Cricetulus griseus: one gene and its partner. The protein of the gene in region 2 binds, or shares a complex with, the protein of the main gene of each other region. Links are inferred from orthologs where the notes say so. Each region holds a gene or a part of one and is shown on either strand. Other genes may lie near its edges.

Region 1 (11,753 bases), on a different chromosome or scaffold from region 2:
AAAAAAGGAAAAAAAAATGAGGAAAATACTAACCTCTAAATTCTTTTTGTTTTTTGAAATAAGAGTCTCTCTATGTAGCCCTAGTTGATCTAGAACTCTATATGGAGAAAAGGCTGGCCTTGAACTCAGAGATCTGCCTGCCTATGTTTCCAGGTGCTAGAATTAAAGATATATGCCACCATGCCCAGCTCATTCCTAATTTTTTTCTTTTATAAATTACTTAACTTTATTTTATGTGCATTTAGTATGGTGTCAGATCCCCTAGAACCAGAGTTACAGTTTTAAACTGTCATTTGGGTGCTCGAATTTAAACCTGGGTGCTCTTAACCACTGAGCCAGCTCTCTAACCCCCTACAATTTTTTTGACAAGATACAATTTATTATTTATATTATATAAGGCTAAACAATTTTGCAACTTTCAAATATTGCTGCTGAAGTCTATTCTGGAGAGTGAAAGTTAAAATAAGTGCTTTCCAACAGCCTGATGACATCCACAGTGGTCACCTGGCATCCATCGTCTTTCCAGAACAAATCTGACAACTCAGAGACACTACATGTACAGGTGTGCACAAACATCACAATCACCCTCCAAGGATTCATCCTCATGGTCACAATGGATTTGTAACCATTTAAGACTGATCCTGAGCCGGGCATTGGTGGCGCATGCCTTTAATCCCAGCACTCTGGAGACAGAGGCAGGCGGATCTCTGTGAGTTCGAGACCAGTCTGGTCCACAAGAGCTAGTTCCAGGACAGCCTCCAAAGCCACAGAGAAACCCTGTCTTGAAAAACCAAAAAAAAAAAAAAAAAGACTGATCCTGGAAACCACAGAACCCCCAGCAATCTATATGTTCATGGCAAAAGGGCCAGGGGCTCTTCCACCTCCAGATTCCAGCCTCCCTCTTCCCAGAATGCTAATGCCAACAGGCCCTCCTGAACAACCTTTACACGCCAGACTTGAGCAGCTAAAACCTGGCCCTATACACCAACACCATCTCTCTTTGCTATGAAGAGATCACTTGAAATCTAGGAGACTGCCATGTCCAAGTGTCTTTCTGTTTTCCATCCAGCCATAAAATCAGAATTGGATATCCTGGGGACAATGCATGCAGAAAACTGAAGCAAGTGGACTCCTCTCATAAAGCAGGTTTCAATCTGTAGATAAAGGCTATGGCAGCTACCACTGAACTACATTGTAGTTTTTTCCCATATTAACTTACCTCTTCAGTAGCAACTGTCTACAACTCTACAACATGTCAAACCACCACTAAAAAGACAGAAAGGATAGGTTGGAAACAAGGCTACAATAATGAAATTTGTCTGCAGGATACCAGGGATGGCTCATCGTCACTGTTAGGTTGACTAGATTTGGAATGCTGTAGGAGTACAACTCTGGGTGTCTGTTTTCAGCAAGGTTTCACTTGAGGCCGCACCCTGAATGTAAGCGGCACCATGCGGACTGGGGCCTCACACTGACTAAAAGGAATAAGGCAAGTAGCTGGCAACTGCGTACATCTTTCTGCATTCTGACCACGGACACAACATGGCCAGCTTAGCACCTCCAGCACACCTTCACCAGCATGACGGTTCCTTCAAACTATAGGCCAAATAAACCTTTGCTTAAGTTGCTTTTGTCACAATAATGAGAAAAGTAACTAATACGGAAAACTGGTATTGAGGAATAGGCCATTGCTGTTGTATAGGCCTGTTGTATAGAGAATGCCTGGAATGCTATAAGCAAAAATTACTAGTCCATTCTGGTGAGCATTTGAAAAGACCAGAATGTCAGTGGAAATGTGGACACTGAAGGCTAGGCTCATGAAGTTTCAGAGAGGAACCAGGATTCTATTGGGAACTGGGCTAGAGACCACTTGTGTTACCTTCTAGCAAACAATCTGGCCATGCCCTTAAAATCAGAGTGAAGCCAAACATAAAAGTAATGGATTAAGTTGTCTGGTAGAGGAAATTTCAAGACAGCATGGCATCCAGGCTGTGGCACAGTCAGCACGTAAGAAAAGCATCCTTAGGGCAAGACTCACTCCTAGAAAGGTCTAACTGGTAAAAAAACAAACAAACAAACAAACAAAAAAACGCCAACTCCAGATGGCAAGATGGCTCAGCAGGTAAAAGCAAGTCTGGCAACCAGAGTTCAGTCCCCCAGAACCCACATGAAGAGGCAAAGAGAAATAATTCTACAAAGTTATATGTATCTATACATACATACATACATGCACAAATATACACTCTCCCACAAATAATAGTGTTTTGTTTTTTTAAGAAAATGAAAACTTATTTCAAAGAAAAAGCTTGAACTGAGAATGCCATCAAATGAAAACAACCACTTAGAGAAGTATTTTCCCAAGACATAGAAGGTCACTGCAGCCATAGTAGAAGGGGCCATCTATCTCAAGCTGGTAGCAGAACTTGGCACTGTCCTCGGGATGGTTTATAGGCATGCAAAATATAAGTGAGGGCAGGGCTGAAGTCCTTGCAAATAGTCTGAGAGGCCACTGAATGACGCTGGAAAGGGAAAGCCTAAGTTGCAACGGAGACCTCAAGACACAAGATACATCGGGACCAGACCAAGGAACATCTGCCAAGGAAAGTTGCAAGCACAAAATGCAGCAGGCCCAAGAAAGAGCCTCAAGTGCTACCGGCAGTGTTACTAAAGGGGCAAAGCGACCCAAGCCTGTCACAGCCCAGAGGATTCCATCACAATCCCAAGATAGCATACATGGAGTTGCATGGTTTGGTATTTGTCCTACTGAATTTTGGTCCTGCACTGGTCCAGTCTTCACTATTGGAGGGTGCAGTAAATACGTGGAGATCAGAGGACAAATTATGGGAGTCAGTTCTCTTCTACCATGTAGGTCCCAGGGAGCAAACTCGAGTAGTCAGGTCTGACAAGCCGGCCATCTCAACAGCCTGGGATTTAGAGTTTTGAACAATGTTAGAAATGTCAAGATTGTAGAGGCTCATGCCAATGAAGTATAAAAGCTTCTTGCCTTAGGAGATGAACCTCTAAGGATAGAATGTTAAGATTTAAAATGATGTGTTTGGTGTGGGGTTGACAAGGGATAGACCTGTGATTGTTAATCCTCATTGTCAATATGACCAAATTCATAGTCATCTGGGAAATGCTCCTCTGGGCACATCTATGAGGTGGAAACTTTCTGAAGATTGGCAAGTCCAAAAATGCAGTCTTCCCAGTAAGACAGCACAACTCCTCAGGCAGTGAGTATTAGCCTGACCTTGGGAGAAGACATTCATGTTCTAAGACATACCCCCTCATACCAGGCTCTCCAGCCCCTACAGCAGGGTCATCATGGTTCATTCAATACACATGCCTTCCACAGGGACAATTTGCAGTGTTACAGGAAAGCACTGCAAGCAGGCATCTCCAAGTACCTGCAGGCACTCACCCCCACTTCCACCATCACTCCTCACTCTCCTGCCCACTCCCACGCCTTCCCACATCAGCTTTCTTGTCCTGCATGGGAGAAATCCTTTGCCAGGTCAACATAATCGGCTCCTGTCATCCCATCCTGTTCACTGGTAACTGCCAGCCCTGTGCCACAGCCTGCAGTTCACAGGGAACCCTCACCTGCCCATCTGCCTGGGCATCTGCTGGGGCAGAAAGCCCCTTAGCTATTTGTTGTCTTCTCTCTACCCTTCCTGGTCCTCTTCCATGACCCAGAGCTTGACTTTAGCCCCTCTGCTCTCACAGGTGTCCAGCTATACTTTACAGCTAGATTTCATCCCCAGTATCAAGTGCTTAGAAAACTCAGTGGTGCCTACTTCCTCTCCTTCAGCACAGACTACAATGTCCCTCTCTGAAACACAAGTATCGTATCCTATATAAAGACATGGTTGGCTACAGGAACGGCCCAACCCTTGACTGTCTGCAGTCTCTGATTCCCCTCTGACTGGGGAAGACGCTTGTGGCGTGTGAATATGTGTGGTGATGAGAGTCAGCTCCAGCACCCTGTTACTCAGTCACTGCACCAGCCCAGCCACACCACAATGGATAACCCCAAACCAGCTGGCCTCAGACTCTCATTGTGATGGGAGATCCTGACCACCTGTCCTCACAGTGCACCACCCCTTTCCCCAGGGACACAGCACATGGAAAGGGAGTGAATGATGCAAAACTAAAATGACAAAACTCTGAGCATGCTGGCTCACTGAAAATGCAATAATATCGTGCCAGTACCATGACCTAACAAAGGCATGGGGGCCAGTATCCCATTTACAAACCATTTACCAAATCTAGTTACTTTGTGGGCATGTGCTGAGCCCACACATACATGTTAGGGCATACATATGGAGAAGAGTGGGGACATGGGTGTAGATAAACAACTGGACCTAACAAGATCAAGCCAGTATCATATATGGTTGTGACTTCAGGTGACCTATACAAGATCTCCTAGGGTGTGACACAACTCCAAAGAGCAGGCCCAAGCCAAGTGCTTGATGACAGGGAGAGTGGCACCGTCTGACCCATGTGGATCATTAAGCATAGCTGAGTCCTCAAGTCAGTGGACAGGACACAGCACCCACCGGTACCTGGCCCCACACCATAGACGCAGCCACACTACACCTGAGCACAACTCTAGATGATGTAGCGCGTCTGCCTGCATTTCCCAGGCTGCACAGAAAATACAGGAATCTAACATTCACAGGGCAGTGAATGCTGAGGAACACTGAAAAGGAGATCATTAGTGCTGGAAGGAGTTAGGATGATATTGCAAAAATATATGTAACCAACAACAGAGACTATATCTTGCAGCCTAAAAGCCTAACTCTCCATATCTGTTTCAAAAAAAAAAATTATTCAAAATATCCAGTAGCTTCAAGATAAATATAAAGCTAAACCAACCAGCATTTCCACCGTGTTTCATTAATCACCAGATGTCATCTTTCTGAGAAAAATGTGCCCAAACAAGTTGTTGATATTCAATCCATCAAAGTTGAATTACGGTCCTGCGTACTACATAAAACAAGTACAGCCTAAGTTCCATGTTGACAGCTGTCCTGAGTGGAAACCCACTAACACACAACACCCCCCTCACACATTCATTTTAATTGAGAGGTGTATTCAATTTTTTTTTTAATTTAAACTGTCTAGATAGGTTAAGGGAAAAATCAAGACCACATCATCCAACCACAAATAACGTGTCAGTCTTCAGATGACAAAGAACACTTGTGCAGGGGGGAGGCACCCACCTACTGACTCTCCATCCCTCACCTCCATCCCAGCTCCTGCGTGTAAAATGTGAGGATAAACCACGGCCATGCACGCACGGCCATAGAGAAAACTGCAAGGAGCAGTGAGCTAACATGTCTGCAGCACGAAGCAATCATACTTACATCTTTTGCCATGTTACCAGATCCAGGAAATCAAGGCTGTAACTGCGTACCCGCCACAGAAAAAACCGGACTTATCTGGCAAAAAGGAAGGAGACAATTAATGAGAGAGAATGAAAAAAGAAGTTTAACAGACATCGCATTTCAAAGGAAACATCTCCCCACCAGCACGAGGCAGGCCTCCAGGCAGCAGGGGCCTTTCTTGCACAATCCCGACAGGAGAGCTAGCCAAGCAGGTCCCACACGGGGATTTTAAGTCACCTCTCCAAATGGAAGTGCTCCCTGCGGCCACCAGCAGCTCCCACTCGCAGAGGGTCCAGACCCCAACCCCTTGGCAGAGTAAGGCGCAGCCGTCAGGCTCACCCCACCTGGGCGCGCGGGCCCCGTCTGACCACAGGCCCCACCGAGGCACAAGGCCCCCAGCTTAGGCACGACACTGCGTGGCAAACCCCGGGCCGCAGCAGGCCCTCGAGCTGCCAAGACCCCAAGGAGCCGCCGACCACTCTGACAGGTGGGCTCCCGGCCCGCCGCCCGCCCCACCTGTCACTAGGCCCGGCCACCAAGCCCCGCGCGCTGGCGCGGAGAAAGCCGGAGGGTGGCCAGGACCCCTGCCCGCCGCCCACGCCACGCCGCGTCGAGGCCGACTCCGGGCTGAGGCTGGGTGGCGGGCGGGATGCAGCCGGACGCGGGAACCGGGCTGGGGCGGGAACGGGGCCGCGCGCCCAGCCCGCGCCCTCCCGCTCGGCCGGCCAGCGCCCCCGCCACACCTGGCTGGCCGGCGGGGCGCGCGGGGCGACGACGGGGGCGCGGGGGCGCCGGCCCGGAGGTCCGGCCCTGGCGGTCCCTGCCCTGAGCCAGCGGCGCCGGACGCGGGCTCACCCTGGGCCGAGCGTCGGGCCGGCGTGACGTGCGCGCGGCGCGGTGACGTGGGCGGCGGCGGGCCCGCTCCGCGCAGCGCGCCTGCGCGCCTTTTCGCGCCTTCGGCGCCCTCCTCCTCCTCCTCCTCCTCCTCCTCCCGCCGCTCATCTCCCGCGCCTCTCGCCGGTGCTACCCGCCCTGGGATAGGGGAGGGGCCTGTGCGCGCGTGCGCGTGCGGCGGGACTCGGCTGGAGACCGCCCGCACTGAAAAGTGCTGCGCGCGCCTGCATGTGCGCATGGAGGCCACGTGTGTGCGCGCCTCTGTGTGTACACCAAGGGCCAACTGAATGCATATCTGTGTGCATGCGCAGGGAATAGAGGGCCACGTGTTTGCCTGTGTGTGTGTCTGTGTGTGTGTGTGTGTGTGTGTGTGTGTGTGTGTGTGTGTGTGATACCTGCCAACGGAGAAAGATCTGTGGTGTGTGCCATACCTGCAGGTACACATAGAAGAGTAACGTGGGCACACCTGTGTATATGCAGATAGTATAGCTGTATACACGTGCATATGCAGAGTATGAGTCGGGCGTGCACGCCTGAACATGTATACAGAAAACCCCCTGTACATACAACTATGTATATTTGTGTTTAATGTCTGCACAGAATACAGGTATGTGTGTACGAATAGAGGGGCCAGCTATGTGCGCATGAGGAAAAAGAGGTCAGTTGTAGGAGTGCCTTAACGTACCTGTATGTGCACCCCCAGCAGAGGAGTTTTGTACATTTACACAGGCCATAGTGAAGACTGTTGGGATGCACACACGTATTGGACACTGCAGAGACATAGAGAGCCTGCCACTATTCAGCTATTGACGTCCACAGCCACATGGCCTGAACTTGGGTTGTCAGTGATTCAGGGCAGGAAGCATCCTGAAAGGGTGTTTGCTCCTGTCATTTCAGAGTCTGTAGGCTTCATCCCAGGAGGGGTCTGGTAGACCCTGAGGCCTGAAGACAGTCCACATTGGAGACCTCTACCTTAGGACTAAAGCTGGAGAGCCTGGGAAGAGAATAGGCTAGGCCTCCCAAATCAGTCCAAATGGTTTGGGTAAAGTGACCCAGCTTTGCCCAACAATATATGGCTCAAGAGTAGAGTGCTGTTAAATGCTATCAGAGAACTGTGGATGTGAGTGACGGGATGTTTAGTGTAAGCACCCTTTACATGGTTGTCTTTCCTTTAAATAAGCTAAGATGTTGAGGGACAGGCCAATTTGACTCCCAGATTGACACATCCTTCTCTGTTGCCTAGCTGCCTTGGCCATAGGACTCAGCCAAACAGCCCTTCCTTCTTTAGCATCTGACTGGACCATCCTGGCCGCTATCCTGTTCTGAGCACTCCTTAGATGCCATGAGGAAGCTATACTGCAACCACAGCTGCTTATGCTAAAGCAAAACCATGATTCCAGAAGGCAATATTCAAGGTATGGTTATTTCAATAACTTGCATCAGACTCCTTCCATCACAAGCCTTGGTAAACCCTAGTGACCATTTTCAACCAGGACACGGGTTGGGGGATGTGGGGGAATATTTCCTCTAGTGGCCCAGGGAAGGACTGTGACTGGTGCCAACATCCTTGCCACGCCTCATTCCTGACTATATAAACAAGCTATTTGGCTCACTTTTTCAGTGGGTTGGGTAAGTCCTTTGTCCAATAAAGACGTCTCTGGAGTGATCATGCACGTTTTTTTTTTTTTATTTTTATAAGCTAGACTGGTAATATGATGACATAAGCCATAAGCACCAATGGAGCACTAGTAGCCACCAGGGGGACTCTGAAGAGTTCCGGAGAGTGAGTGGGGCAAGAACAACAGCATACTCAGGAGACAGAGACAAGAGCCAGGACTGACAAAGGTGATGACGAGGCAGAGAGGAGAAACAGAGTACCAGACACTGGAAGAGGGGTAATGGTCTTACTCTAGGGTTGAAAACTGCAACAGGAGTCACTTAGGTGCTGAGGTTCCCAGCACCCATGCAAAGTTACAGCACTAGCAGACACTGGCCATTGCTGTCGATGGAAGCTAAGGATTCCAGGAGCTGCCAGTGTTGTGGCTGCTGGTGGTTAAATTCCAGAATATTTAACCTCCAACTTCAGTATTTGGAGCCGTAAACCTCTGGCTTCTGAAGCATGGAGTGATAGGCCCCTGGTTTTCAGGAGACAGTTGTAAGCCTCTGGATCTGCCAGTCCATCCCATAAACATTGGGCATGTAAGGGCCAGGATTACTAGAGCTGGAGAATCGTCTCCTTGCCCAATCATGTGATCTGGGTAAAGCAGAATGACCCCAGCCAGCTGATTAGTAATAGAGAGGTCAGAGCTGTACCAAGTGCTGGGCTAATTAACATCTATGAAGAGTCTTGAGGAGCACAGACCAAAGGCCTCCCCCAGTCATATGCAACATGTCATTACTGGACACCCCTATTTCGCATGGCTTTACAATTAACCACCTTTATGCTGACTACACCTGCTCCTACCACTTCAGCTAAGCCCCACCTTCTTAAGCTGTCAAGCATTTAATTAACATTGGTTCTGCGTGCCAGAATTGAAATCATGCATGGAGGCCTTCAAATGGCCAGGAGTCCTCCAATTCTGGCTCCCCTCCCCTCTTTTCCCCTCCCCCAGGTAACAGGAAAACAAAAGAAAACCACCATCCTGGTCTCTAAGATGGGAAGTGGCACCTGCCTCTTGTGTATATTTAACAAGGGCAAGTTTCTTAACTACATGGAGTGACTTCACATGACAACAGCCATTAACTCAATTCACTGGAGGATACAGACAGAACTCAAAGTGTTCTCGGGAAGCCATATTGACAGGATGCAGAAACCAGGCTGAACAGAGGAACCAGAGAATGCACAAAATGTGTGGTCTGGGGGGAAGGGTCAAGATGGATTGATTTCTGCTTTTAATCTGTGATAAACAGACCTGTTTCTTGGGTGATGAGTAAGCAAGACACACTACAATAAATGGACTTCAAAGAAGACACACTCTCCAATATGTACCTGAGTTACCATTGTCTTCACTGTGACAAAGACACCAGAGAGAACTAACTTAAGCAAGGAGAGGTGTACTTTGGCGCTTGGTTTCAGAAGTTTCAGTTTTCGGCCATTTGGTCCCAAACACATGTACAGAATATCATGATGGGAAGAAGAATGTAGCCGAGGAGAGCTGTTCTTCACCACTGGGAGGCAAAGAGCAAAATGGGATTTTTGTGTAGCATTTCCACCAGTGGGGAAGATCCCTAATGTTCTGAAGGAAGGGTCCTTATGACTCAGGAAGTAGGGGCTGGAGAGATGGCCCCAAAGTTAAAAAGCACTTGCTGTGCTTGTAGAGGACATGGCAGCTTATAACCATCTGTAATTCTAGGTCCAGGAGATCTGGCACCCTCTATTGGCCTCTAGGCACCAGACATACATATGGTGCACATACATACATGCAGGCAAAACACCCATGCATATACAAAAAAAAAATGAATCTTAAAAAAAAGTCAGGAAGTAAACAATTGAAGAGCTTCAGGAAGTCCCTGAAACCAAACACACTAGGTTTTTCCCTCCCCAAGCTTATGTAAGCAGAAAGGAGTGATGAGAGACAACCCCAACAATCTGGAAGAGACTAACCAACCGAGCTACAGAAAAATACACATTTCAACTGTTGAGATGCCTGCAAATTGTGCGATAAGCTCTGGGTTTCCAGTTTTCAAGAGTTGTCTCTGAGGTGGTCTTTGATGATGTAGCTGTCTTTGGGTCATGCGGGGATGTCTGCAGTCTTCACGGGTAACAGAGAGATGAGCCACAGGAGGCTAGGAGACAGTTCAGCTTGACACAACTCAGTGGCCGAGTCTGAATCTGAGTTGTTTAGTTCGGGCATATTTAAACACAGCACAATTCAGTGAAAATTTTTCTTGTGATGATTAACTCAATTCCATGTGCAAAACAAAGCATGTCTAAATCTCTTTGAGAAACAAAACAAGCTAAATACAGAGAAGTGACTACAATGAACTCTTTGCAAGGCACATGTGACACCTTACCTAAAAAAGATAGTATCTATATATTGACTATATGTGATACATTCCGTAAAGATGAGTTCCATGGATTGACTAAGAAAAACCAGTTTACAAGAAGGGTCTGGAGGAGGGCGTGGTGCCAGAAAGTCTTCCGCCATTCTGATTGCGCAAAGGTCACCAGGCTAGAAATCATGTCCACTCTAGCCTTCTGGGTATAAAACAGGTTTTGCATTCCTTCCCCAAAAGGAACAACCCTTTTTGTTTAACATTCCAGGTCCCCCTGTGCATGTCTGTGAGCACAAAAGCCTCCATGCCCCCTACGAGGTCATTTATGCTCCTGTAATAATGACCATTTGAAATTTATCCTGGATATACAAAGGTAGCCCTGTCATTGACAAAGGAAGGAATAAACAAAATACTACATATGCACACATAAACTATATTCAGCCATATAAAGTAACAGGATTCTGACATATGCTACCATATGGGTGGAACTTGAAGACATTATACTGTAAAATAAGCCAGATACAAAAGAATAAATTTGTGAGTTACTAGCATAGGTAAAGTCAGAATAAGTACTGGCTCTGTTGGTAGCAAGAAATGTATAGTCCCTCCCTGTAATTGCAGAGTTTCTGTTTGCAATGATATCAGTGTTTTAGGAACAGATGATAGTAATGTGTACGAAACATTGTAAATTAACACTAGTAAATTGTACACTTAACATGATAAACTTCCACTGGGTGTGATAGTGCATACCTTTGGTCTCAGCACCTGACAGGCAGAGGCAGACAGGTCTCTGTGAGTTTGTGAGTTCCAGGACAGCCAGGGCTATGTAGAGACACCTTGTCTCAAAAAAAAAAAAAAAAGATAAGCTTTATATGTGGATTTGTATCAAAGTTTTTAAAAAAGGAAAACCCAGTATACACATAAGTGAATTTAATTATTATAACAATTATTTAATTAAATACATTTCAATGCACCCCTTTTAAAGCTATAAAGAATGAATTGTTAGGTATAACAATGGTATTTTCATAGGGTAACTTAGAAGAGAGTGGTTATGAAATTAGGCACAGTGTTATGATCTGACAATTTATCTTCCAATGTTCGATAAAATATGATAATAATTGCTTAAATGTGGATACATGATTCAGGCAGTGGTGGCACAGGCCTTTAATCCCAGCACTTGGGAAGCAGAAACAGGCAGATTTCTATCAGTTCAAGGCCAGTCTGGTCTACAAAGAAAGATCCAGGACAGCCAGTGCTACACAGAGAAACCCTGTCTCTCAAAAAACAAAAACAGAAAATGTGAAAAATGTGGGTATTTTATGCTTCAACCTCTTCTTTACAGCATAAATCGGAAGTCCTAAACAGTGCAATAAGACTAGAAAAAGGGGTGGGCAATATGGCTTAGTGGGTAAAAATGTTGCCTGAACAAGCCTGACTCCAAGAGTTCAATCCCCAGAACTCCAAAAGCCTGAT
Region 2 (11,049 bases):
AGCTACTAAAGCCTTTCAAGGACTGAAATCTCTCCTAGAAGCTCAGAATGTATTGAAAGTCTGTGGTAAGGAGACAAATGCATTTGATCATTCTGATTCACCGACAGTGAGAGACAATGCATTTGGAGACTATAAACAAGGAAAACGATGGTGCTGGTGGTTGGTTGCTCCTAACATCTCCAGAAGAGTGGACAAAGGAATGTGCTCTGTTCTGTAATAAAATTCAACAACTTCTAACATCTCAGAATTTGGTTAAGGACAACAATGAACTAAGTGGTAAAACTGACCAGCTCCAGATGCACATAACTGTCTGAAGCAGTGGTTTTCAACCTTCCTAATGCCTCAACCCTTTAATACAGTTCCTCATGTTGTGGTCACCCCCAAACACAAAATTATTTTTGTTGCTACTTCATAACTGTGATTTAGTTACTGTTATGAATAGAATAGTAAATGTAAATATCTGTGATTTCTGATGGTCTTAGGTAACCCTTGTAAAAGTTCACCCCACCCCCACCCTGAAAGGGGTCTCAACCGCAAGGTTTAAAGGTTTCTTAGTGTGACCTTGAAGAAAATCTTTTCCCTAGCAGTTACAGGACTCAAGCTATGGAAAACCACGGACATCACTAGAATGGCTGAATTACAAAGAAAATCCAAGAATTCAAGTCCCAGCCTTGCAGGGTGTCCGAAGCTGAAGTAAAGTAAAAGAATGGGATCTTATAACTTGGGAAGGGGATGTGTGGGAGGACCCTAGTGAAGCTGACAACTTTGAACCCCTCAGATTCTCATGGGCTTATCTCACCTGAGGAAGTAGTCTCTCCACCCTCAGTAGAAGATGCACACCCCGCCCCACCCCTTGAAATATTGCCTTTCCCCCTTTGATTGAGAAAATTAATCCTTCGTTGTCTGTTAAGCCAGCAGTGGAGAATGGCAGCTGACTCTGAAAACTCAATCAAGTGGTGACCCCAACTGCAGCTGTGGCACCAGATGTGGTGTCCTTACTTGAGCAGGTTAACACATCTCCTGAGGTACATGGTACGCAGCTCGGCTTTTTCAGTACCTGTCCATAAGGACTGTCAGAACTATTTGCTTTCAGTTGGCAAGGCAGCAGTATGCCTTTACAGTTTTACCTCAAGGATACATTAACTTTCCAGTCCTGTGTCATAACTCAGAAGGGATCTTGTTCATGTGTCTCTTCCACAAAATATCACAAGGTGCATTGTATTGATGCCATGATGCTGACTAAACAAAGTGAGCATGAATGAGGTAGCTACCACTTGGGACTTGATAACACATATACGCATCAGATGGAGAATAAATCCAGCCAAAATCCAGGGGCCTTCTAACAGTGAAATTCTTAGAAATCTAGTGGTGTGAGTGGTGGTGGCATGCAGAAATTAGTGCCACCTAAGGTGAAGTCATTCCATGTGGCCCCTCTCACCAAAGAAACAAGCTTAGTGGGGTCTATTTGGATTTTAGGCACAGCACATTCCCCACTTGGGTCTATCACTTTGGCCCATAAAGCCAGAGACTCTGAAAGCTGCTAGCTTTGCCTGGGGCCTGAACAGAAGGCTCCTCAAGGCTTTTCAACAAATCCAGGCTGCTGTGCGGGCTGCTCTACCACTTGGACCACATGATCCAGCAGACCCGATGGTTACTTGAGGTGTCAAGTGGCAGACAAGATGCTGTTTGGAGCCTCTGACAGGCCCTATAGGTGAATCACAGAGGAGAGCTTTGGGATTTGGGAGCAAGGCTCTATCATCTGCAGACGATTATTCCACCTTTGAGAGACAGCTCTTGGCCTGCTATTGGGCCTTAGTGGAAACTGAATGTTTAACAATGGGACACTAAGTTACCATGAACCCTGTGCTGCCCATCATAAGCTGGATGTTATCTGACCCACCAAGTCATAAAGTAGGACATACACAGTAGCAATTTATTGTCAAATAGAAGTTCATATGTATGTTTGGGCCTGAGCAAGTCCTGAAGGTCAAGCAAGATTACACGAAAGTTGCCCAAATGCCTATGGTTTCTACTCCTGTTACAATGCTGTCAGCTGCCTAACATTCACCTATAGCCTTATGGTGTGTTCCCTATGATTGGTTGACTGATAAGATAGGGCCCAGTTTACTGATGGATCTGCACCTTAAGCAGACACCACCCAGAAGTGGACAGCTACGGCATTACAACACTTTTCTGGGACAACCCTGAAAGACACCGGAGAAGGGAAATATTCAGTGGGCAGAACTTTGGGCAGTACACGTGGTCATACAGTTTGTTAGGAAGGAGAAATGACAAGACTTACTTCATTCATTCATCCAATGGATTGGCTGAATGGTCAGAAACAGGGTCTCTCTGTGCAGCCCTAGCTGTCCTGGAACTCACTCTGTAGACGAGGCAGTCCTCAAACTCAGAGATTTGCCTGCCTCTGCCTCCTGAATGCTAGGATTAAAAGCATGTACAACTAATGCCTGGCTGTCCTCAATTTCTTTATCATGTAATATAACATCAATTAAGGGGACATTTCCACCTATTCTAAAATTGATGATGCATTTGTGGTTGCATGAGGATAGTTTCATCTTGTTAGATGTAATTATAACCTGGCTATTGTTTCATTTGGAAATTAAACATGACTTAAGGAGGTATGTGTCAAGTTGATAATGGGTAGACTTGTGATGGCTATCCTTGATTGTCAACCTGACTATAGCTGGAATTAACTAAAACCCAAGCAGCTGGATACACTGTGAGGGATTTTTCTTAATTAAATCATCTGAAGTGGAAAGAACCACTTCTAACTCAGAACTTTTGTGTTGGGAAGATCCACCTTTAATCTTCCTTCTGGACATAGAAGAAGGAAGCTTTTGCCCTTTGCCAGCTTGCTCTCACTCTCACTTGCAAGTCCATTCCTTCAATGGCATTGAAGTCAACTTCTTCAGGTTTCCAGTGTACCCTGAAGAACAACTGGGACACCCAGTCTTGTGGACTGCACAACTACTGGATTGACTCTTGGACTGTCCACTGGTAGACAGGCACTGTTGGACTAGGTGGATCACAGCCTGAAAACCTGTAATCCATTCTATTAAGTCACCATTTTACATGAGTAAACAAAAACAAACAAAAAAAGGACCACAGGGATGGGTGGTTAGGATGCGCAGCAAGACAGCTCAGTGGGCAAAAGTGATTGCTACTCAAGCCTGACAACTTGAGTTCGGTTTCCAGAATCCATGGTAAAAGGAGAACTGAGACCCAAAAGTTATCCTTTGACAGCTATGCATGTGCCATTGACTCACATACATGTACATGAACATAAATCATCTGTGGCTTTGGAGCCTGTCCTAGAACTCACTCTATAGACCAGGATGGCCTTGAACTCACAGAGATCTGCCTGTCTCTGCCTCCCCAGTGCTGGGATTAAAAGCATGTGCTGCCACTGCCTGGCTCAAATAAAATTATTTTAAGACAAAAAAATATAGTTTTGGGGGGCTGGAGAGATGGCTCAGTGGTTAAGAGCACAGAGGTCCCGAGTTTAATTTCCGGCAACTACATGGTGGCTCACAACCACCTTGAATGAGATCTGGTGACCTCTGCTGGCGTGCAGGCAGAAGACTGTATACATAATAAAGAAAATCTTTAAAAAATATTTTGGTTTTTTGGGGAGTGGAGATTTAGCACATGCACACATCAGTTTCAATGTTTCTAACGGTAGAAATTATAAGATAGAAACACATCAGGGAGATAACGGGAGGTTAAATGCTGACCAAAAACAAACAAACAAACAAACAAACACACAAAGGAATTCTGGGTAGATGGCCGAGTTTTCCAATGGTCTTAGGTGACCTCTGTGAAATGGCCAGCCAACCCCCCACCATACCATGAAAAACGACCCACAGGTTGAGAACCACAGTTGTAGATGGCAATGGGGAGCCATGGTGGTATATGAACAGGTGAACACTGGAATGACTGGAATGGAGGTGGCAAAGTGGCTACAAATACATAATTCAGAATATATGCTGAATGCCATGTTTTCTCTCAATAAATCTGACCCTTTTTAAAATGGCAAATGAGGAGCCAGAGAGATGACTCAGCAGCTAAGAGTACTTTACTACTCTTGCAGAGGATCCCGGTTCAGTTCCCAGAACCTACATGGAGGCTCACAACCTTCCGGTAACTTCAGTTTTTAGGGGATCCGGTGCCCTCACCTGATCTCTGTGGGCTCCTACAGGCACATGGTGCACACATACACAGGCTGGAGAGATGGCTCAGCAGGTAAATGAGCTGAAACTCAGATGATAGGAGGAGACAGTCGGCTCCTACAAGTTGGCCCCTGAAGGTCAGGCATGGTGGTGCATACCTTTAATTCTAGTACGAGGAGGCAGAGGCAGTAGGATCCAAGCGTCTGAGGCCAGCCTGGTCAGCATAACGAATTCCAGTACAGACAGAGCTACAGAGGGAGACCCTGTCTCAAAAGACCAAAAAAAAAAAAAAAAAAAAAAAAAAAAAAAAAAAAAAAAAAAAAAAAGCAAAACACAAAAAGAAAAAACACCATGAACAGGTTGTCCTCCACTTTGGCTCTAACGAACATACACACAGAGATCTATAAAACTGAATTTTATTTATTTTTGGGGGCATGTTATCTCTGTGTAGCCCTTTGTAGACAGGATAGCTTGGAATTCATGTAGATCCACCTGCCTCTGCTTCCCAAGTACTGGGGATTAAAGGAATGCACCATTACTACCTGGCTATAAAAATAATTTTTTAAAATACCAAGGACACAGCCGGGCATTGGTGGTGCACGCCTTTAATCCCAGCACTCGGGAGGCAGAGACAGGCAGATCTCTGTGAGTTCGAGGCCAGCCTGGTCTCCAGAGCGAGTGCCAGGACAGGCTCCAAAGCTACACAGAGAAACCCTGTCTTGAAAAACCAAAAAATAGCAAGGACACTTTCAGTTTGTAGATTGGAAAGGCATTTGAGAAAAAAGTTGCTGAAAGGGGTAGGAATGTTATATGACCTCTTTCCTGTCCTGCAGGCAAACTAGGGGTAGGTTGTCACAAGGAAAGACCTAGAAACATGATGGCCACACTCACACCTCAGGGTAGAAATGAGTGAGTGGCTCTGGGGAAGTTATTGAGGAGATAGGGTCAGATAACCAGGGAATAAAAGCAAAACCACCACCCTGGAATGGAGCCGAGAGACTGTGCCACAGGCGGCCACTCACCTGGCCTTCCAGGGGCTGGGCACTCTGGTGGCGGTCCTTGTCCTCAAGTTCCAAAAGCAGGTAGACGGGCTTGCAGTCTCTGGACTCGCTTGGGAAGCCTCCTGTGTCTACTTTCCTCTTGATGGTGGAGTTCCAGTGATTCTTAACAGCATTGTCAGTCCTGTGGGGAAATCCAGGAGCCTCTGACACGAAGCTCTCCGTCTCTTGGAGGCTTCTCCAGCCTTCTGCAGCTTCTCCCACATGTGTAAGTGAAGGTTTGGCCGAATGCACCAAAAGCACTGGTCAATGCTACAATGAAGTCTGTCTGTAGCCCTCATGACTTAGCAATCTCCACACATTTCCGTGGAATAAGCTAGTGCAGAACTCAAGGCAGGATTAAGTGCAAGCTGGACTGACCCAGAAAGCTTCTCTGAAGAAGCAGCAGTGAGAACTGACAGCAAGCTGGTGGGCCTCACAACAGGGCAAGGCAGCGAGGCATGCAAGCTGTCAGAGTGGTGGTGGGGGTGGTGGGGGGAATCCTGTCAGAGCCCAGCAGCTGTGGGAATGGAAGGGGGAAGAGTGGTAGCTCAGGACCCACTCAGGACCAAGCAACCAAGGTGACTGCAGATGGAGGTGAGGCTACTGGCATGCGCAAGGCCAACACCACACAGGGAAGGGACTCTGAGTCCCCAACCAAGAAACAAGACAGGGCCTCAAAAACACACTGAGACTAAAGTTATGAAAAGACACTATCACCTGGCCTCCTCTTTATTCTTCCTCCCAGGATCACACTGCCGTGACAAAGGAGGGACTCAAAACAAAACACAAGAAAACAAGAGCAAAGTAAGGCTGAGAAAACAGGGAGGGAAGTGGCAGCAAATTATATTTTAGAAGTTTTCAGAAGATGGAAAGAGGTCAGGGGAGCAACAGCCAGGCCAGGAGATTGGGAGTCCAAACCAAACTGACCTTACAGGAAGATTCTATCTAGAGTCAATTCATCCCAAGGCTCCTCCCAGAACTCCAGGAGCCCCAGGACTGGAGTAACCAGACTGAGGAGCACAGACAGGCACAGATTAAGCAGAGCATCTGCCCAACCTCCAGCTCCTGACCCTGACCTCCTGGCAGGAACAGGGCTACAGAGGGAGTTTCCTCGATGTTTCCTCTTTTAAAATAATTCAGCTTTGCCGGGCCTTGGTGGCACTTGCCTTTAATCCCAGCATTCGAGAGGCAGAGGCAGGCGGATCTCTGTGAGTTCGAGACCACCCTAGTCTACTGGTCTACAAGAGCTAGTTCCAGGACAGCCTCCAAAGCCACAGAGAAACCCTGGTGGGGGAGAGGGGGCAAGAACAAGAACAAAAATACCCCCAGCTGTGTTGGGGGTACAGCTCAGTGTTAGGACATTTGACTGCAGATACAACCCAGCAACTGTGGCCACAACAGACAGAAACAGTGCACAGAGCAGAAAGAACCCACAAGTATAATATTCTTAAAAACAACAAATCATTCATGAATATGGAGACTGGCTAGGCATGGTGGGGCACACCTACATCCATAGTACTCATGAGGCCAAGGTCACAAGTTTGAAGTCAACCTGGGCTCAACACCAACATGGCATACACAGCAAGTCCCTATCTCTAAAATCAAACAAGAGCCTGATTTAGTACAAAGTGGTAAATGGTGACAGAAACTAGTGTTTCCTTTATATTCCCTTTAATAGTCAGGATACAACCTGCCTTTTCTGGTACTGTCTTTTTAGACCTAGTTTCCTCCTTCTGATGCAGGTCTCTGGGAGACCTGGAGACAAGGCTAGTTGAATATGGAAGATCACGGTACTCCAGGTCACTCCATCAAGCACGGGCCTCACATCCTGGAACAGCCCCCCACCTGCACCCTACCTACCAGAAGATAGCTCACCTCCCTGGCAGCATTTTGGCAATCTCAGCCCAGCGGTTGCCCAGCACTTTATGGGCCTCACAGATTATGCGATCTTCCTCCTCAGTCCAGCAGGATTTTTTCACCTCGGGGTTGAGGTGATTGTGCCAGCGCTCACGGCACTGCTTTCCCAGCCGGCCCTTCAGGTGCTTGGCAATCAGCGTCCACTGCTTCGTGCCATACTTCTTGACCAGCTCAATGACCTTGAAAAAAATATCAGTGAAGGAACAGCCCCTCAATCACCTCCACTAAAGCACTGCCACATCCAGTGGGTCTCACTTTGCAGGACTGTAAAAAGGTCAACCCCAATCACACTACAGGGTCACTTTTTTTGAAAATGTATTTATTTATCATGTGTACAGTTTTCTGCCTGCATGTGTGCCTGCAGGCCAGAAGAGGGCACCAGATCTTATTACAGATGGTTGTGAGCAACCATGTGGTTGCTGGGAATTGAACTCTGGAAAAGCAGCCAGTGCTCTTAACCTCTGAGCCATCTCTCCAGCCCCTACAGGGTCATTTAAAGTCCTCTGTGGAAATTGGGAGGGGAGAGCTCCAGGTCATGCATGCCACCTAGAGCTAGACTTCAGTCTTCAATCACCTCTTAGAAAGGCTCTTTTGCAGGGCTGGAGAGATGGCTCAGCGGTTAAGAGCACACGGACTGTTCTTCCAGAGGTCCTGAGTTCAATTCCCAGCAACCACATGGTGGCTCACAACCACCTTGAACGAGATGCCCTCTGCTAGCATGCAGACAGAAGACTGTATACATAATAAATAAATAGAATCTTGGCTGGGCGTTGGTGGCGTATGCCTTTAATCCCAGCACTCAGGAGGCAGAGGCAGGCGGACCTCTGTGAGTTGAAGACCAGCCTGGTCTACAAGAACGAGTGTCAGGACAGCCTCCAAAGCCACAGAGAAACCCTGTCTCAGAAAAACAAAAACAAACAAACAAACAAAAAAGGCTCTTTTGCTCAGAACACAAACCCTAACATCATAGCTACCCAAGCTAGGCCCTCCTCAATTCCTTGTTTTTCTGGATAGAGTTCTTCTGGGTAGCCCTGGCTGAATTGGCTCTGTAGATCTGCGTGCCTCTGTCTCCTAAGTGTTGGGATTAAAGGTGTGCACCACTACCGCCAGGCTCCTTCCTCAGTTCTTGATAAACAGTTTCATGTGCACACAGCCACAATCAGGGAAGAGTAGATGCTTACAGAAAACAAAAGGGAATTTTTGTGTGGAAATATTCTATTTCATTTCTCCGTAGTTAAAAAAAAATAAGAGACAAGGTCTCACTATGTTGACCAGGTTGGCTTTAAATGCCTGATCCTTCAGCTTCCACCTTCCCAGCGTTGGGATTACAGACATGTGCCACCACACCCAGCTTGCTGTGATTTAAAATTTTCCTTTATCACAACTCATTTGAAGGGGAGTACGCATCTACAATGACAATGCTTTTATCCCCTGCTTTTCTTGGGTGCTGTGCCTACCAAGGTGAAATGGTATCTTATGGGCTAACACCAGGGATATGCACCAGAGCTCTACAAAGGAGTGATCATAGTCTTGGGGAATATCAAATCCTTTCTATGCCTTGGTTTACCCACTTTTAACATGGAAAACAACCCACCTCACAGGACTATGGACGCTAAAGAAATAAAGTATTAAAATGCCAAATGTGGCAAACACCTGTAATCCTAGCGCATGGGAGATAGACAAGAAGTTCAAGATAGACAAGGAGTTCAAGGCCAGCCCTGGCTACATAGCAAGTTTAAGGCCAGCCCAGGCTGAGACCCTGTCTGAAAAAAGAAAAAAAAAAAAAAACACCAGAAGGGGTTAGAGGGGAGGTAAGCTCAATGGAGGAGAGCATGCACACATTACCTTTCCATTTTCTATGTGACAGGTAAGGTTACCAGTTAAAAGCTAGGTAATTCATGGGGTAAAGTGGCCACTATAAGTCCAGAACTTGGAAGTTGAGGTCTGAGAAGCAACTGTGAGCTCAAGGCCAGCTTAGGCTACACAACAAATATGAGACTAGTCAAGGGTTACAAGGCTGACCTGTCTCTACACGCGCGCGCGCGCGCGCGCGCGCGCACACACACACACACACACACACACACACACACACACACACACACACACACACACACACACACACTCCCCTGAAGACACGTAGGACAAAAGCAGAGTGGTATGGGGATGTTAGACATCTCAGTGCCTGACTCACTGGCAGTGGTGACAGCCCACTATGCATGCAGTCCTTTTGCCAGCACTTACCTTCTGATCTTCCTCTTTGGTCCATGGTCCCTTAACAAGGTCTGGATTCAAAACCCTCAGCCACCGGTACTGGCATTGTTGGTCTGTGCGGTTCTGGGATAGAACAGAAATAATTGTGGAACCATAAGCTTGAACTCTGGTTGAGTCCTGAACTCAGGGGCCAGGATGCAGGCATACATATATCAGGTAGCTGTGTCCTATGCCAGGCACCCACCACATACTAGAGGCTGACCTACCACAACACAGGTGCATTATTTTTGTTTCAAAGGATAAACTCAGGCCCTGTGGCAAGGAACCTCCTATCCTCTGAACCTTGTGTGTGTGACGTGTACTATCTCAAAGTCTACAAAAGCTTTGTGGAACTTATTAGTGATTCCTGCTTTCTTCTTGGAGAAATTTTTATTTATTTTTAATGATTTATTTTTAGTTCTTGTGCATTGGTGTTTTGCCTGTATGCGTGTCTGTGTGAAGGTGTTGGATGTCCTGGAACAGACAGACAGCTGTGAGTGCTGGGAATCAAACCAGGATCCTCTGGAAGAGTAGCCAGTGCTTTTAACCACTGAGCTACCTCTTCAGCCCCACGTTTTTTATTCTTTACAGAGTTCAGATTACAAGGAAAAAATGGAGAAAGGGGATGGGGGGACACAGAAAGAAGCATGAAGATTCGCCCTGAGATGCCTAGCAAACCCCAGCAGTCGAGTTGCAGCCTTGTGCACTGTGCTGTCTAGATGCCTGCAGTCCTGGAAGGGAAGACTCATCCCCAGAGGGCTCAGGATGTTCAGTGCTGTGGTACCAGCCACCTGCACAGGAACCTCAGCTAGAAGTCTGCCAAAGGTCTCCCCCCACCCCCCAGTGTCAAATTGATGGTCCATAGGTCAGTATCCAGGTGCTCCTGCCTTGCAGGAAGAAATACAAAACTGCCTTTGGGCCTGGGACCTCAATTATGCTAAAGCAGCTGCATGCAATCTTCTCACTGGGTGCCTTCTGGCTTTTGGTTTTTTGGCTTGGTTTTTTTTTTTTTTTCCCCCGAGACAGATTTTTCTGTGTGGCAAACTCAGAGATCTGCCTGCCTCTGCCCTGTGTCCCGCCCCCAACCGCAGGCTGGGATTAAAGGTGTGCACCACCTCGGCCCAGCCTCCAGGCCTCACTTCTGCTTTCTAAGCATGCTGCAGCAGGCCCTTGCCTGGGGGAAGATACTCACAGGAAAGTGGCTAGCCAGGAACTTCCAGTCTTGCTGTCCGAACTGCCTCACCAGGGCCCTCAGCTGCTCATCCTGCCAGTGTAAGAAAGACACAGGATTTAGCTCACATGTGTGCAATGTTTTAAGGTGCCACAATACCACCATATTGACATTCATTCTGGAACTGAATGCCTACTAAGTGCCCCATTTTAGACACAGTAGCAGGCAGCAACACATCTGCCTGAAACGGAGGAAGATGGTAATCAAAGCCTCAGGCAACAGACACAAGAATAGCCGCTCCCCTGGGGGATATGCTGGGAGCTAAGGTGATTAACTCTTCAAGCAGGTGCGCAGACAGGTTTTAAAAAGTAACAAAAAAAAGGACAGCTAGACTGGGGAAGGGTGGTGAGATGCGGCTAGAGAGGCTGACAGTGGCAGGCCAGGAGGATTGATTCAGAGAGTTCTTCCATGAAGAGGCACT

What was found.
Region 1: Mybl2 (region 2) and Tfdp1 share a complex: the UniProt entries of both Homo sapiens proteins name them as parts of the DREAM complex. The link is inferred for Cricetulus griseus from reciprocal best matches to the Homo sapiens genes MYBL2 and TFDP1.

The regions. Positions count from the first base shown.
Region 1 is NW_023276807.1:67,446,556-67,458,308, forward strand, and holds the start of Tfdp1 (transcription factor Dp-1), read right to left. Parts: upstream 6,262-11,753; 5' UTR 6,134-6,261; intron 5,445-6,133; 5' UTR 5,382-5,444; coding exon 5,370-5,381; intron 1-5,369. UniProt on the Homo sapiens protein: Can stimulate E2F-dependent transcription.
Region 2 is NC_048599.1:16,453,396-16,464,444, forward strand, and holds part of Mybl2 (myb-related protein B), read right to left. Parts: intron 10,662-11,049; coding exon 10,590-10,661; intron 9,482-10,589; coding exon 9,389-9,481; intron 7,327-9,388; coding exon 7,106-7,326; intron 5,373-7,105; coding exon 5,213-5,372; intron 1-5,212. UniProt on the Homo sapiens protein: Transcription factor involved in the regulation of cell survival, proliferation, and differentiation. Transactivates the expression of the CLU gene.